Oryzias latipes: one gene and its partner. The protein of the gene in region 2 interacts with the protein of the main gene of each other region in a pairwise test. Links are inferred from orthologs where the notes say so. Each region holds a gene or a part of one and is shown on either strand. Other genes may lie near its edges.

Region 1 (5,293 bases), on a different chromosome or scaffold from region 2:
CATTTGGACCTCAATGATGTCATGTTTGTGCTTCAGGTTCTGGTGGAAACAGATCAAATGACTCGGACTGGAAGGAGGTGAGGAGGGAGTGAAACTGTCACACGGGTGTGAGATGTGTGGGGACCCACAGTGATGGGTCCTCCACGGCTTTGATTTCAGTCAAAGGAGGCTTTTAATTAGAAAATCTAACTAATATGTGTGAAGCTTAGAGGACAAACCAGAACATGAACAGAAGGAAGGTGGGCTTAATTCATGAATGAATCAGCCTGTAAACAGCCTGCAAACAGTCTGTAAACATTCTGCAAACAGCCTGCAAACAGTCTGTAAACAGTCTGCAAACAGCCTGCAAACAGTCTGCAAACAGCCTGCAAACAGCCTGCAAACAGTCTGCAAACAGTCTGCAAACAGTCTGCAATCAGCCTGTAAACAGTCTGCAAACATTCTGCAAACAGCCTGCAATCAGCCTGCAGACAGTCTGCAATCAGCCTGCAAACAGTCTGTAAACAGCCTGGAAACAGTCTGTAAACAGCCTGCAATCAGCCTGCAGACAGTCTGCAATCAGCCTGCAAACAGTCTGTAAACAGCCTGCAAACAGTCTGTAAACAGTCTGTAAACAGTCTGCAAACAGCCTGCAAACAGTCTGTAAACATTCTGCAATCAGCCTGCAAACAGTCTGTAAACAGCCTGCAATCAGCCTGCAGACAGTCTGCAATCAGCCTGCAAACAGTCTGTAAACAGCCTGCAAACAGCCTGCAAACAGTCTGTAAACAGTCTGCAAACAGCCTGCAAACAGTCTGCAAAAAGCCTGTAAACAGTCTGTAAACAGCCTGCAAACAGTCTGTAAACAGTCTGCAAACAGCCTGCAAACAGTCTGCAAACAGTCTGCAAACAGTCTGCAATCAGCCTGTAAACAGTCTGCAAACATTCTGCAAACAGCCTGCAATCAGCCTGCAGACAGTCTGCAATCAGCCTGCAAACAGTCTGTAAACAGCCTGGAAACAGTCTGTAAACAGCCTGCAATCAGCCTGCAGACAGTCTGCAATCAGCCTGCAAACAGTCTGTAAACAGCCTGCAAACAGTCTGTAAACAGTCTGTAAACAGTCTGCAAACAGCCTGCAAACAGTCTGTAAACATTCTGCAATCAGCCTGCAGACAGTCTGCAATCAGCCTGCAAACAGTCTGTAAACAGCCTGCAAACAGTCTGTAAACAGTCTGCAAACAGCCTGCAAACAGCCTGCAAACATTCTGCAAACAGTCTGCAATCAGCCTGCAGACAGTCTGCAATCAGCCTGCAAACAGTCTGTAAACAGCCTGCAAACAGTCTGTAAACAGTCTGCAAACAGCCTGCAAACAGTCTGTAAACATTCTGCAATCAGCCTGCAAACAGCCTGCAATCAGCCTGCAATCAGCCTGTAAACAGTCTGCAAACAGTCTGCAAACAGTCTGCAAACAGTCTGTTAACAGTCTGCAAACAGTCTGCAAACAGTCTGCAATCAGCCTGCAAACAGCCTGTAAACAGTCTGCAAAAAGTCTGTAAACAGCCAGCAAACAGTCTGCAAACATTCTGCAAACAGCCTGCAATCAGCCTGCAAACAGCCTGTAAACAGTCTGCAAACAGCCTGTAAACAGCCTGCAAACAGTCTGTAAACAGCCTGCAAACAGTCTGTAAACATTCTGCAATCAGCCTGCAAACAGTCTGTAAACAGCCTGTAAACAGTCTGCAAACAGTCTGTAAACAGTTTGCAAACAGTCTGCAATCAGCCTGTAAACATTCTGCAAACAGCCTGTAATCAGCCTGCAAACAGTCTGTAAACAGCCTGTAAACAGTCTCCAATCAGCCTGCAAACATTCTGCAATCAGCCTGCAAACAGCCTGTAAACAGTTTGCAAACATTCTGCAATCAGCCTGCAAACAGTTTGCAAACAGTCTGCAATCAGCCTGCAACCAGCCTGTAAACAGCCTGTAAACAGTCTGCAAACAGTCTGCAACCAGCCTGTAAACAGTCTGTAAACATTCTGCAATCAGCCTGCAAACATTCTGCAATCAGCCTGCAAACAGTTTGCAAACAGTCTGCAATCAGCCTGCAACCAGCCTGCAAACAGTCTGCAATCAGCCTGCAAACAGCCTGTAAACAGCCTGTAAACAGTCTGCAAACAGTCTGCAACCAGCCTGTAAACAGTCTGTAAACATTCTGCAATCAGCCTGCAAACAGTCTGCAATCAGCCTGCAAACATTCTGCAATCAGCCTGCAAACAGCCTGTAAACAGTCTGCAATCAGCCTTTAAACAGCCTGTAAACAGTCTGCAATCAGCCTGCAAACAGCCTGTAAACATTCTGCAATCAGCCTGCAACCAGCCTGTAAACAGTCTGCAATCAGCCTTTAAACAGCCTGTAAACAGTCTGCAATCAGCCTGCAAACAGCCTGTAAACATTCTGCAATCAGCCTGCAACCAGCCTGTAAACAGTCTGCAAACAGCCTGTCTCACCTGTTGCCATGTTTCCTTTCAGCTCTACAAAACGATGTTTGTCTTTCGCTCTGAAAGCCGCCGCAGCGCCACCCGACTGATGACCCCTCCTATTGGCCATCACATCTTTCATCCTTTGCCCCGCCCCTTCCCCCCTGTGCCAGGCATTATTGGGGGGGATTATGACCAAAGACCCAATCTCCCGCACGGCCTCCTGCCCCGCCCCCGACACGACCCCATTGGGCCCCTTTCAGACCCCCTTGGTCGACCGCTACCCCGGTTCAGATCATTTGGGGGCAAGGCAGCCGACATCCGGCGGGGTTTCATCTGAACATTGAATCCTGGAAGGAACGCCATGACCACACGTGGGGGGTGTGGCCTCCATGTGAGAGCCCCGTGATCCAAAGAAGAAATGACACTGTGCTGGAAAGCTTGATTTATTATTATTTTGGTTTTTTTTATAAACAGCTGAAGACCAGTGTGAAACAATCTGACTGTTCCTGTGTGTCCCTGAATGCACCACAGTGTTTTAGCCTGAAAGACTAACGCGGGTTTCTGGGTCAGAGCGAGCTGTGGTCGCCCTGACAAAACCACGTGACACACCAACACCTGAGTGACGGAGAAGGCTCCGTCCATCTGGTCTCAAACGTACAGGAACTTCCTTCAGAACCAGCGGGTTCTGCTCCTGATTCCGTCACTAAACTGCTGTATTCAGTCTTTACTGTCAAAAACGGCAGAAGAAACTTTGGCTTCCGGGGGGTATTCCAGAAAGCAGATTATGCTAGCTCCCACGATAAGTTTGAGGCTAAGGAAGTTGATAACCTCGGCTTTCGGTTCCAGAAATGGAGGTATGTTTCAGGGTGGGTCAAGTTGCCATAGCAACGCATGCTCTGAACATAACCTGGTCTGGAGCAGGTTTAGTTGAAGGTTAGTTTGTTTTCAGAGAGGAGAAGCAGCATGGCGTGTCCATTTGAAGATGATTTAGTGGATGAAGAAGCTCAGATAATACTTTTTCCACCGTGAGAGGGTGATAAGACCACGTATGGATGTTGGAAAGAGAAACTTATTACTTTGATCTAACTTAATTATTTGCTTCAGTTAAGATAAATCATTTTTTTTGTTAGAAATTTTTTTGTTAAAAATAACACGTAGTTTTCAGACAGTTATTTTCCTTTCGTTCAAATTAATTCAATTAAGTAGGTGTAACTTTGATGCTGCTGTTAGATCGGCACCGCAAGGGATTGTGGGATACCATTCCCTTTGCCTGTCTGGACGGATTTGGGTTTAAGTGTGGGTTTTTTACTAAATGTGTTTAGTTGTATAGCTGTTTTACTGTGTTTCACCGTGTTTAGCCGAGCTATTTTGTCCTACTATGCTTACGTCTCTGCACCATGAGTGAGAGGGAGGGAGAGGATGATGAGTTTATATAGCACCCCTACCGCTTAGTGCTGTTATGACAGTGACGGAAAATTCTTTAGTGAGTTTTTGCACTCGGTGCATTGTCTTTCCGTTCTTTTTATTGTTATACAAATGAGAATATCTGCCGGCTCAAACTTAGACATATGAAAGTTCAAGAAATATAAGTAATTAAGATGGAAAAAAGATTAATGGAGTAATGTGACATTTAGTTAGATAAATACGTAGATTTGAGTTGTATAAACAATTATTGAGTTTGAATTAATTTAACTAAATTATCTTTCAGCCGTGTTACTTTTTTGATGGACTTATAATTTTTAACCGCCGTCATTAAAATCTCAGACTCCGTCTCACTTCCGTCTCAAGTGTCGCGCTTTCTTTTTTTTTTCTCCACGCGTTTCCATGGTGACTCCAGAAATCGGCGATCTATTGAGAATGTCTTTATGTACCTTCCGTGCACGAGCATTAACCCAGGGTTACCAAGTCGAGCGTAATTACGCCAAATCATATCCGGTCTTTTGGAACCGACATACCCAGAGTAAGCAAGTTCAGGCGGATTTCAGCCAGAGTTCAGGCTCAAAGTCAGGCTAGTTTAATCTTGCTTCCTGGAATACCCCCCAGGTCATCACCCGGCGCGGGGCGTCCTCGTAAATAAAATGACGTCATCTTTTGTCTAAAACGGGGGGAGGGGGTACGTTCGTTGATCAGGCACGCTCGGCCTGTGGGGCGGTGCAGTCCGAACGGCCGAAGTCCGCGTGCGCGCACCGGCGTCATCCCCTGGAAATGGGTCTCTTTTTTTTTTTTAGGCAGCACGTGACCCCGCAGCGGTAAACACGCACCAGGCCGAGCCGGAATCCCGCACGCGCCGCCGTCTGTCCAGGATGCTCGGCTAATGCTAGCTTTGGTTCCGAATTCACAAATTAATTAAGGCTTTACTCATTGCTCGGTCCAAACCGAACCAGAACCTAGGGAGGTGTCTCCAACCCCAAATCGAGTGAAGCCAAAAACGCTTTGTTCGAGTCGCGCGTGAGAAAACCTAGAGTTCCCGCCATAACTTTTCCAGAACTGTTATGTCCTTGTTCCTGTTAAATTGCATTTAGGCTCTGGTTCGGGTTTCGTGACATTGGGTTTCTGTTGGTTCGGACGGGAGCCGCGGCTCCCGTCGGTACAGCGGATTCGCCGTGCGCGCGCCCGCTTCGCTGCTCTGTGCCTTTAAGAGCGTCACGTTGTTACCGGAAGTGTGAGGGGTGTTTCCAGCTGACCACAGTCCCCCCACCCCCCGCTCGGCGCCCCCGTTCAGACCCGCCATCCGCGCCGGAAACCGAGAAGTCGGGGATCCACCCCGCCCGGCGCCCCCCCCCCTCCCTCCATTCCAGCCGCCGTCGGTCTCCGGACTGTCATGATCCCGGCGC
Region 2 (5,908 bases):
CGTCCTGCAGACATGTGGACTCGTGTTGTATTGAACATGAGTCCACGCGTCACGAACGTCACAGAAACTCTGAACAATCGTCGTTCAGAAATGCTGACGTCAGATTCCAGCTGAAGGTAACGGCGGTGTGACGGCGTCTGCTTTCTGTGTGTCTGAAGAACTGCAGCACGCAGCAGGTGACCGACCTGACCGTGAACATGAAGGATCACGTGGACGCCGACCATCTGGACACGTTTGACAGGTCGGTGTAAAAAAACGTCCCCCACAGGAATCAGCAGTTCTTCCTGTTTTCAGTCCCTCAGGGTCACAGAGTCACAGGTGAGGAGGGCAGACCATAAGAGCTGCGGGTGCAGAGGTAGCAACCCTGAATCTGGATGAAATGATTGACTGAAGGCTTTTATTCTGAAGGGTTTTCATAAATGGAGACGGTTTGTCAGAGAAGGTGAGGGCTCAGCTGCTGCCCCCCCAGGAGAAGAAAGCAGGGAGGAGGAGTTTGCGGGAGGATGAGGACGAAGCAGGAGGAAGGAGGAGGAGAGAGGAGGACGACCCTCTACGCATTCCCAGCAGACGTCCTGGTCCGGGAACGCAGCATCCATGGTTGGGAAATTCTGGCATTGATTTGATCACAGCGATGGGATAAAGAAGTCTTTATTCTCTCTTTCTAGAATATTTCTATATTCTGAAAGTTAAAAGAAATGACGTTAAAGTAAAAATCAGGAATAAATTCCTGTTATTTTCTCACAGAACTGAATGAGTTGTTAGATCCGTCTGAACTTTAAAGGATAAAAGCAGAAACAAGTCTATCTAAAGATGAGCTTTTATTTTGAAAGGTTTATTCTGTCAGGAAGGAAACAGTCATCACGGATGCTGTGCTGCTCCTGATGAAGGTGAGGTGATTCTTCATCATTTGATGAACGCTTTGTTTTTCAGGCGTGAGCCTGCAGTTCCGCCTTTTGCCACTGGGGGAGCAGATCTGGATCCGTTCGGGTGGGTGTGTCTCCTCCTCTAAAACTTCCAGATGTTTGTGAGTTTCAGCCAGCGTTGTCCTAATCCAAGGATTTGGGATGACGGATTATCAGCCTCCGGCCTCGCGGACTCACAGCTTTGACCTCGAACGCTGAATCTCTGAACAGAATCTGCTGAGTCAGCATTCGATGGTCACATGACGCCTCACTTTGACATTTTCCTCCTTTTCTTTACCGTCTTTCTAAACTCCTGAGAGGATTACATCTGGAATTTGTGTTGAAAGCCTTATTGTTGTTTTTTCTTTGAGTCGGTTCTGTAGGGTTCTGTTGGGTTTTACTAGAGCACTGTGGGGTTTTATTAGTCCACTGTGGGGTTCTGTAGGGTTCTTTGGGGTTCAGTAGGGTTCATGGGGATCTGTGAGGTTCTGTAGGGTTCAGTGGGGTTCTGAAGGGTTCTGTGTGGTTTTGTAGGGTTCAGTGGGGTTTTGGAGGGTTCTGTGGGGTTCTGTTGGGTTTTATTAGTCCACTGTGAGGTTCTGGTGGGTTCAGTGGGGTTTTGTAGGGTTCTGTGGGGTTCTGTTGGGTTTTATTAGTCCACTGTGAGGTTCTGGTGGGTTCAGTGGGGTTCTGTGGGGTTCTGTGGGGTTCTGTTGGGTTTTATTAGTCCACTGTGAGGTTCTGGTGGGTTCAGTGGGGTTTTGGAGGGTTCTGTGGGGTTCTGTTGGGTTTTATTAGTCCACTGTGAGGTTCTGGTGGGTTCAGTGGGGTTCTGTGGGGTTCAGGGGGATCTGTGAGGTTCTGGTGGGTTCAGTGGGGTTCTGTAGGGTTCTTTGGGGTTCTGTTGGGTTTTATTAGTCCACTGTGAGGTTCTGGTGGGTTCAGTGGGGTTCTGTGGGGTTCAGGGGGATCTGTGAGGTTCTGGTGGGTTCAGTGGGGTTCTGTAGGGTTCTGTGGGGTTCTGTTGGGTTTTATTAGTCCACTGTGAGGTTCTGGTGGGTTCAGTGGGGTTCTGTGGGGTTCAGGGGGATCTGTGAGGTTCTGGAGGGTTCTGTGGGGTTCTGTTGGGTTTTATTAGTCCACTGTGAGGTTCTGGTGGGTTCAGTGGGGTTCTGTGGGGTTCAGGGGGATCTGTGAGGTTCTGGAGGGTTCTATGGGGTTCTGTTGGGTTTTATTAGTCCACTGTGAGGTTCTGGAGGGTTCAGTGGGGTTCTGTTGGGTTTTATTAGTCCACTGTGAGGTTCTGGAGGGTTCAGTGGGGTTCTGTGGGGTTCAGGGGGATCTGTGAGGTTCTGGAGGGTTCTTTGGGGTTCTGTAGGGTTCATGGGGATCTGTGAGGTTCTGTAGGGTTCAGTGGGGTTCTGTAGGGTTCTGTGGGGTTTTGTAGGGTTCAGTGGGGTTCTGGAGGGTTCTGTGGGGTTCTGTTGGGTTTTATTAGTCCACTGTGAGGTTCTGGTGGGTTCAGTGGGGTTCTGTGGGGTTCAGGGGGATCTGTGAGGTTCTGGAGGGTTCAGGGGGTTCTGTAGGGTTCTGTAGGGTTCATGGGGATCTGTGAGGTTCTGGAGGGTTCAGTGGGGTTCTGTTGGGTTCTGTTAGTCCACGTGAAGCTGGAGGAGTAGCTCTGTGACTTCCTGGCTTTCGGTTCCGCTGGAGCCTCCTTTTCCTGAGGAGAACCTCCTCAGAGAGGATTGACCCGTTTGCAGTCTCGTGTCAGAACCTCTGAAGGTCGTGTTCCAGTCAACGTTCCTGTGTGCAGAACCCCTCTGGTTCTGCTCTGGTTCTGCTCCTGCAGAAACGTTCATCGTGTCCTTTGTCCTCCTGACTCGTCCTCAGATCTCGAGGTGGGGGCGGGATGATCGTGGACCCCCTGAGGTCGGGGTTCCCCCGCTCCGGCTTCGACCCCTCCAGCGGCATCCCGGACATTCTGCCCCCCGGAGCCGTGCCACCGGGAGCTCGCTTCGACCCGTTTGGACCCATCGGGCGGCACAGACCAGGGTGAAGGCAGCACTCGTGTTCTCCTGCATGTGATGATGGTTGTTGCAGCCAAAACCCAGAGAGACACACGTCTGTGCGGATTCTGAAGAATTTGGTTCTGATTTCAGAGAATTGGGTTTTTTTAGAGATTTTCTCCTAAAATGACTTTAAGAGAAGAAAATCTCTTGGAAAAGTTTGATCCGCTGCAGCACAGAGTCCTAAAACAAACAGACAAAGCGCTGCGTTGGGTTCTGGTCGTGTTCTGGGCGGTTCTGGTTCTCTTTTGATGACCTAAGCTGCAGCAGAAACCAAAAACCTGAAACCTGTTTGTGTTTTTGCTTCCTAGGCCGGATCCGGACCACATGCCCCCCCCCGGCTACGATGACATGTTCATGTAGAGCTGAACGTGGGTGGTTCTGAAACCCTGACTCGGTTCTGACCCGCTCACTTTGCTCTCAGCTTTCAGGACGTGAAGTTTGAGGCTGCAGGTTCTGGTTGAGATAAGCGAGTTTGTTTTGGGTCGGAGGAGACGATTCCAGAAGGAAATCCTTCTGCTTGTCTCGGTGTTTGGAGCAGACGGCCCAGAAAACCGGACGGAGTTTGAGTTCTGAGCTTCGGGTCGGACTCTCGCTCCGATTTCAGGTTCCTGATCATTTTGTGGCTCATTCAGGAACACCAGAAATAAAGTTAGTTTAAAAAACTGTGAATCCTGTTGATGGAATAAATGTTTGAATCATTTCTCTGTGCTGCTTTCTGCTTGGGCCGGTTCTGTAGAAGCGGGTCGTTGTGGGTCACAGAGGTTTGACACTCAGAACAAAAATCTCTGAAGATTCTCTTTTTCTGATCAAGTAAAACACGAACGGTGATGAAAAAAGACAATCAAATTTAGCAGCAGATTTCAGACATGAAGGGTTACATTCTGTAAAAAAAACAGCTTTTCGGTTCCGACGGTCCAGTTTCAGACGGACAAAGTCCAGAACAACATCCTGAATTTTATTCTTCATCTGATTCCTCTTTTCTGGTCCCGGACCTTCTGTTCCCGGAACCGGTTCGGTTCTGCTCCTGGAACCGGTTCGGTTCTGCTCCTGGAACCGGTTCGGTTTCTGCTCCCGGACCTTCTGCTGCCGTCCCACAGAGATGCAGATTCATAAAATCCTAATTTGAGAGGTTTAGTGGTTTACCTGTGAATCTTTCTGCTCAGTCTGACATCCTGCAGACGTTGACAGACGTCATCATGAAGTCCAGGCTGCACGGTGGTGCAGTGGTTAGCGCTCTTGCCTCGCAGCAAGAAGGCCCCCAGTTCAAGTCCCGGCTGGGGGACCTGGAACAGAACACCAATGGGGGTCCTTTCTGTGTGGAGTTTGCATGTTCTCCCCGTGCATGTGTGGGTTTTCTCCAGGGTCTCCGGCTTCCTCCCACCGTCCAAAAACATGCTTCATAGGTTAATCTAAATTGTCCCTAGGTGTGAGTGTGAGAGTGAATGGATGTGTGATTGAGGATATTCTAACCCGTGACAGACTGGCGACCAGTCCAGGGCGTCCCCTGCCTTCACCCACAAGTGGCCAGGATAGGCTCCAGCAGCCCCGTGACCCCGAAAGGGAAAAAACAGAATTGAAAATGAACCATGAAGTCAGAGACTTTTCTGTCTTTCTCTTCATTTAACCCTTGTGCTATCCTAGGCACTTTAACGTTGGGAGTTGGGTCATCTAGACCCACTAGACAGTGCTCTGAACCTTTTTTCTTCAATGATTTGTGATCTTCACTGGTGTCCATGGATTACATGAAATCTTTCCACCTTTATCCACCTTTGTCATGGTAGGGAGAACACCTCAATGGAAGGGGGGGGGGGGGGTCATAAGATAGCACAAGGGTTACACAAAACCATTCAACTATTACACAAGAATGGTACTTTGAAAAAAAGGTCTTTTAGTTCTGAACGGTGAAGTATGATGTCAATGTTCAGATCTGGTTGCCATGCCAACAGAGAAGCTACATTAATCACCTTCCAGCGTTCATGGGTTCACCTTCTGACCCTGCAGACGGACAGAAAAGCAGTGATGACGTTTCCATGACAACTGAGATGATGATGCAGAGGGTTGGATGGGGGATGTCGGCTGCAGCTCTTTCTGCAGGGGTTTGTGCATTGATGACCGTCGTCAGGCCTTTTGCTGTTTGTTCTGCTGCTGCAGCTGCAGCTGCTGCTGCTGCTGCCACTGCTGCTGCAGCAGCAGCAGCAGCTGCAGCAGCAGCAGCAGAACAACAGCAGCAGCATCAGCTGCAGCAGCAGCAGCAGCAGCAGCAGAACAACAGCAGCAGCAGCAGCAGCAGCATCAGCTGCAGCAGCAGCAGCAGTGGCAGCATCAGCTGCAGCAGCGGCAGCAGCAGCAGCTGCAGCTGCAGCTGCAGCAGCAGCAGTGGCAGCAGCAGCAGCAGCAGCTGGAGCTGCAGCAGCAGCAGTGGCAGCAGCAGCAGCAGCAGCATCAGCTGCAGCAGCAGCAGCAGCAGCAGCAGAACAACAGCAGCAGCATCAGCTGCAGCAGCGGCAGCAGCAGCATCAGCTGCAGCAGCAGCAGCAGCAGAACAACAGCAGCAGCATCAGCTGCAGCTGCTGTTGTTCTGCTGCTGCTGCTGCTGCTGCTGCAGCTGATGCTGCTGCTGCTGCTGTTGCTGCTGCTGTTGTTCTGCTGCTGCTGCTGCTGCAGCTGCTGCTGCTGTTGCTGCTGCTGTTGTTCTGCTGCTGCTGCTGCTGCTGCTGCTGCTGCTGCAGCTGATGCTGCTGCTGCTGCTGCTGCTGTTGTTCTGCTGCTGCTGCTGCTGCTGCTGCTGCTGCTGCTGCAGCTGATGCTGCTGCTGTTGTTCTGCTGCTGCTGCTGCAGCTGCTGCTGCTGCTGCTGTAGCTGCTGCTGCTGCTGCTGCTGCTGCTGCTGTTGTTCTGCTGCTGCTGCTGGTGCTGTAGCTGCTGCTGCTGCTGC

What was found. The genes of interacting proteins can lie anywhere in the genome.
Region 1: the proteins of psmf1 (region 2) and fbxo7 interact in binary tests that used the Homo sapiens proteins (3 or more experiments, as listed by UniProt). The link is inferred for Oryzias latipes from reciprocal best matches to the Homo sapiens genes PSMF1 and FBXO7.

The regions. Positions count from the first base shown.
Region 1 is NC_019881.2:23,758,251-23,763,543, forward strand, and holds the end of fbxo7 (F-box only protein 7), read left to right. Parts: intron 1-36; coding exon 37-77; intron 78-2,508; coding exon 2,509-2,796; 3' UTR 2,797-2,954; downstream 2,955-5,293. UniProt on the Homo sapiens protein: Substrate recognition component of a SCF (SKP1-CUL1-F-box protein) E3 ubiquitin-protein ligase complex which mediates the ubiquitination and subsequent proteasomal degradation of target proteins and plays a role in several biological processes such as cell cycle, cell proliferation, or maintenance of chromosome stability.
Region 2 is NC_019863.2:32,760,435-32,766,342, forward strand, and holds the end of psmf1 (proteasome inhibitor PI31 subunit), read left to right. Parts: intron 1-158; coding exon 159-241; intron 242-408; coding exon 409-597; intron 598-930; coding exon 931-987; intron 988-2,795; coding exon 2,796-2,957; intron 2,958-3,282; coding exon 3,283-3,334; 3' UTR 3,335-3,674; downstream 3,675-5,908. UniProt on the Homo sapiens protein: Plays an important role in control of proteasome function. Inhibits the hydrolysis of protein and peptide substrates by the 20S proteasome. Also inhibits the activation of the proteasome by the proteasome regulatory proteins PA700 and PA28.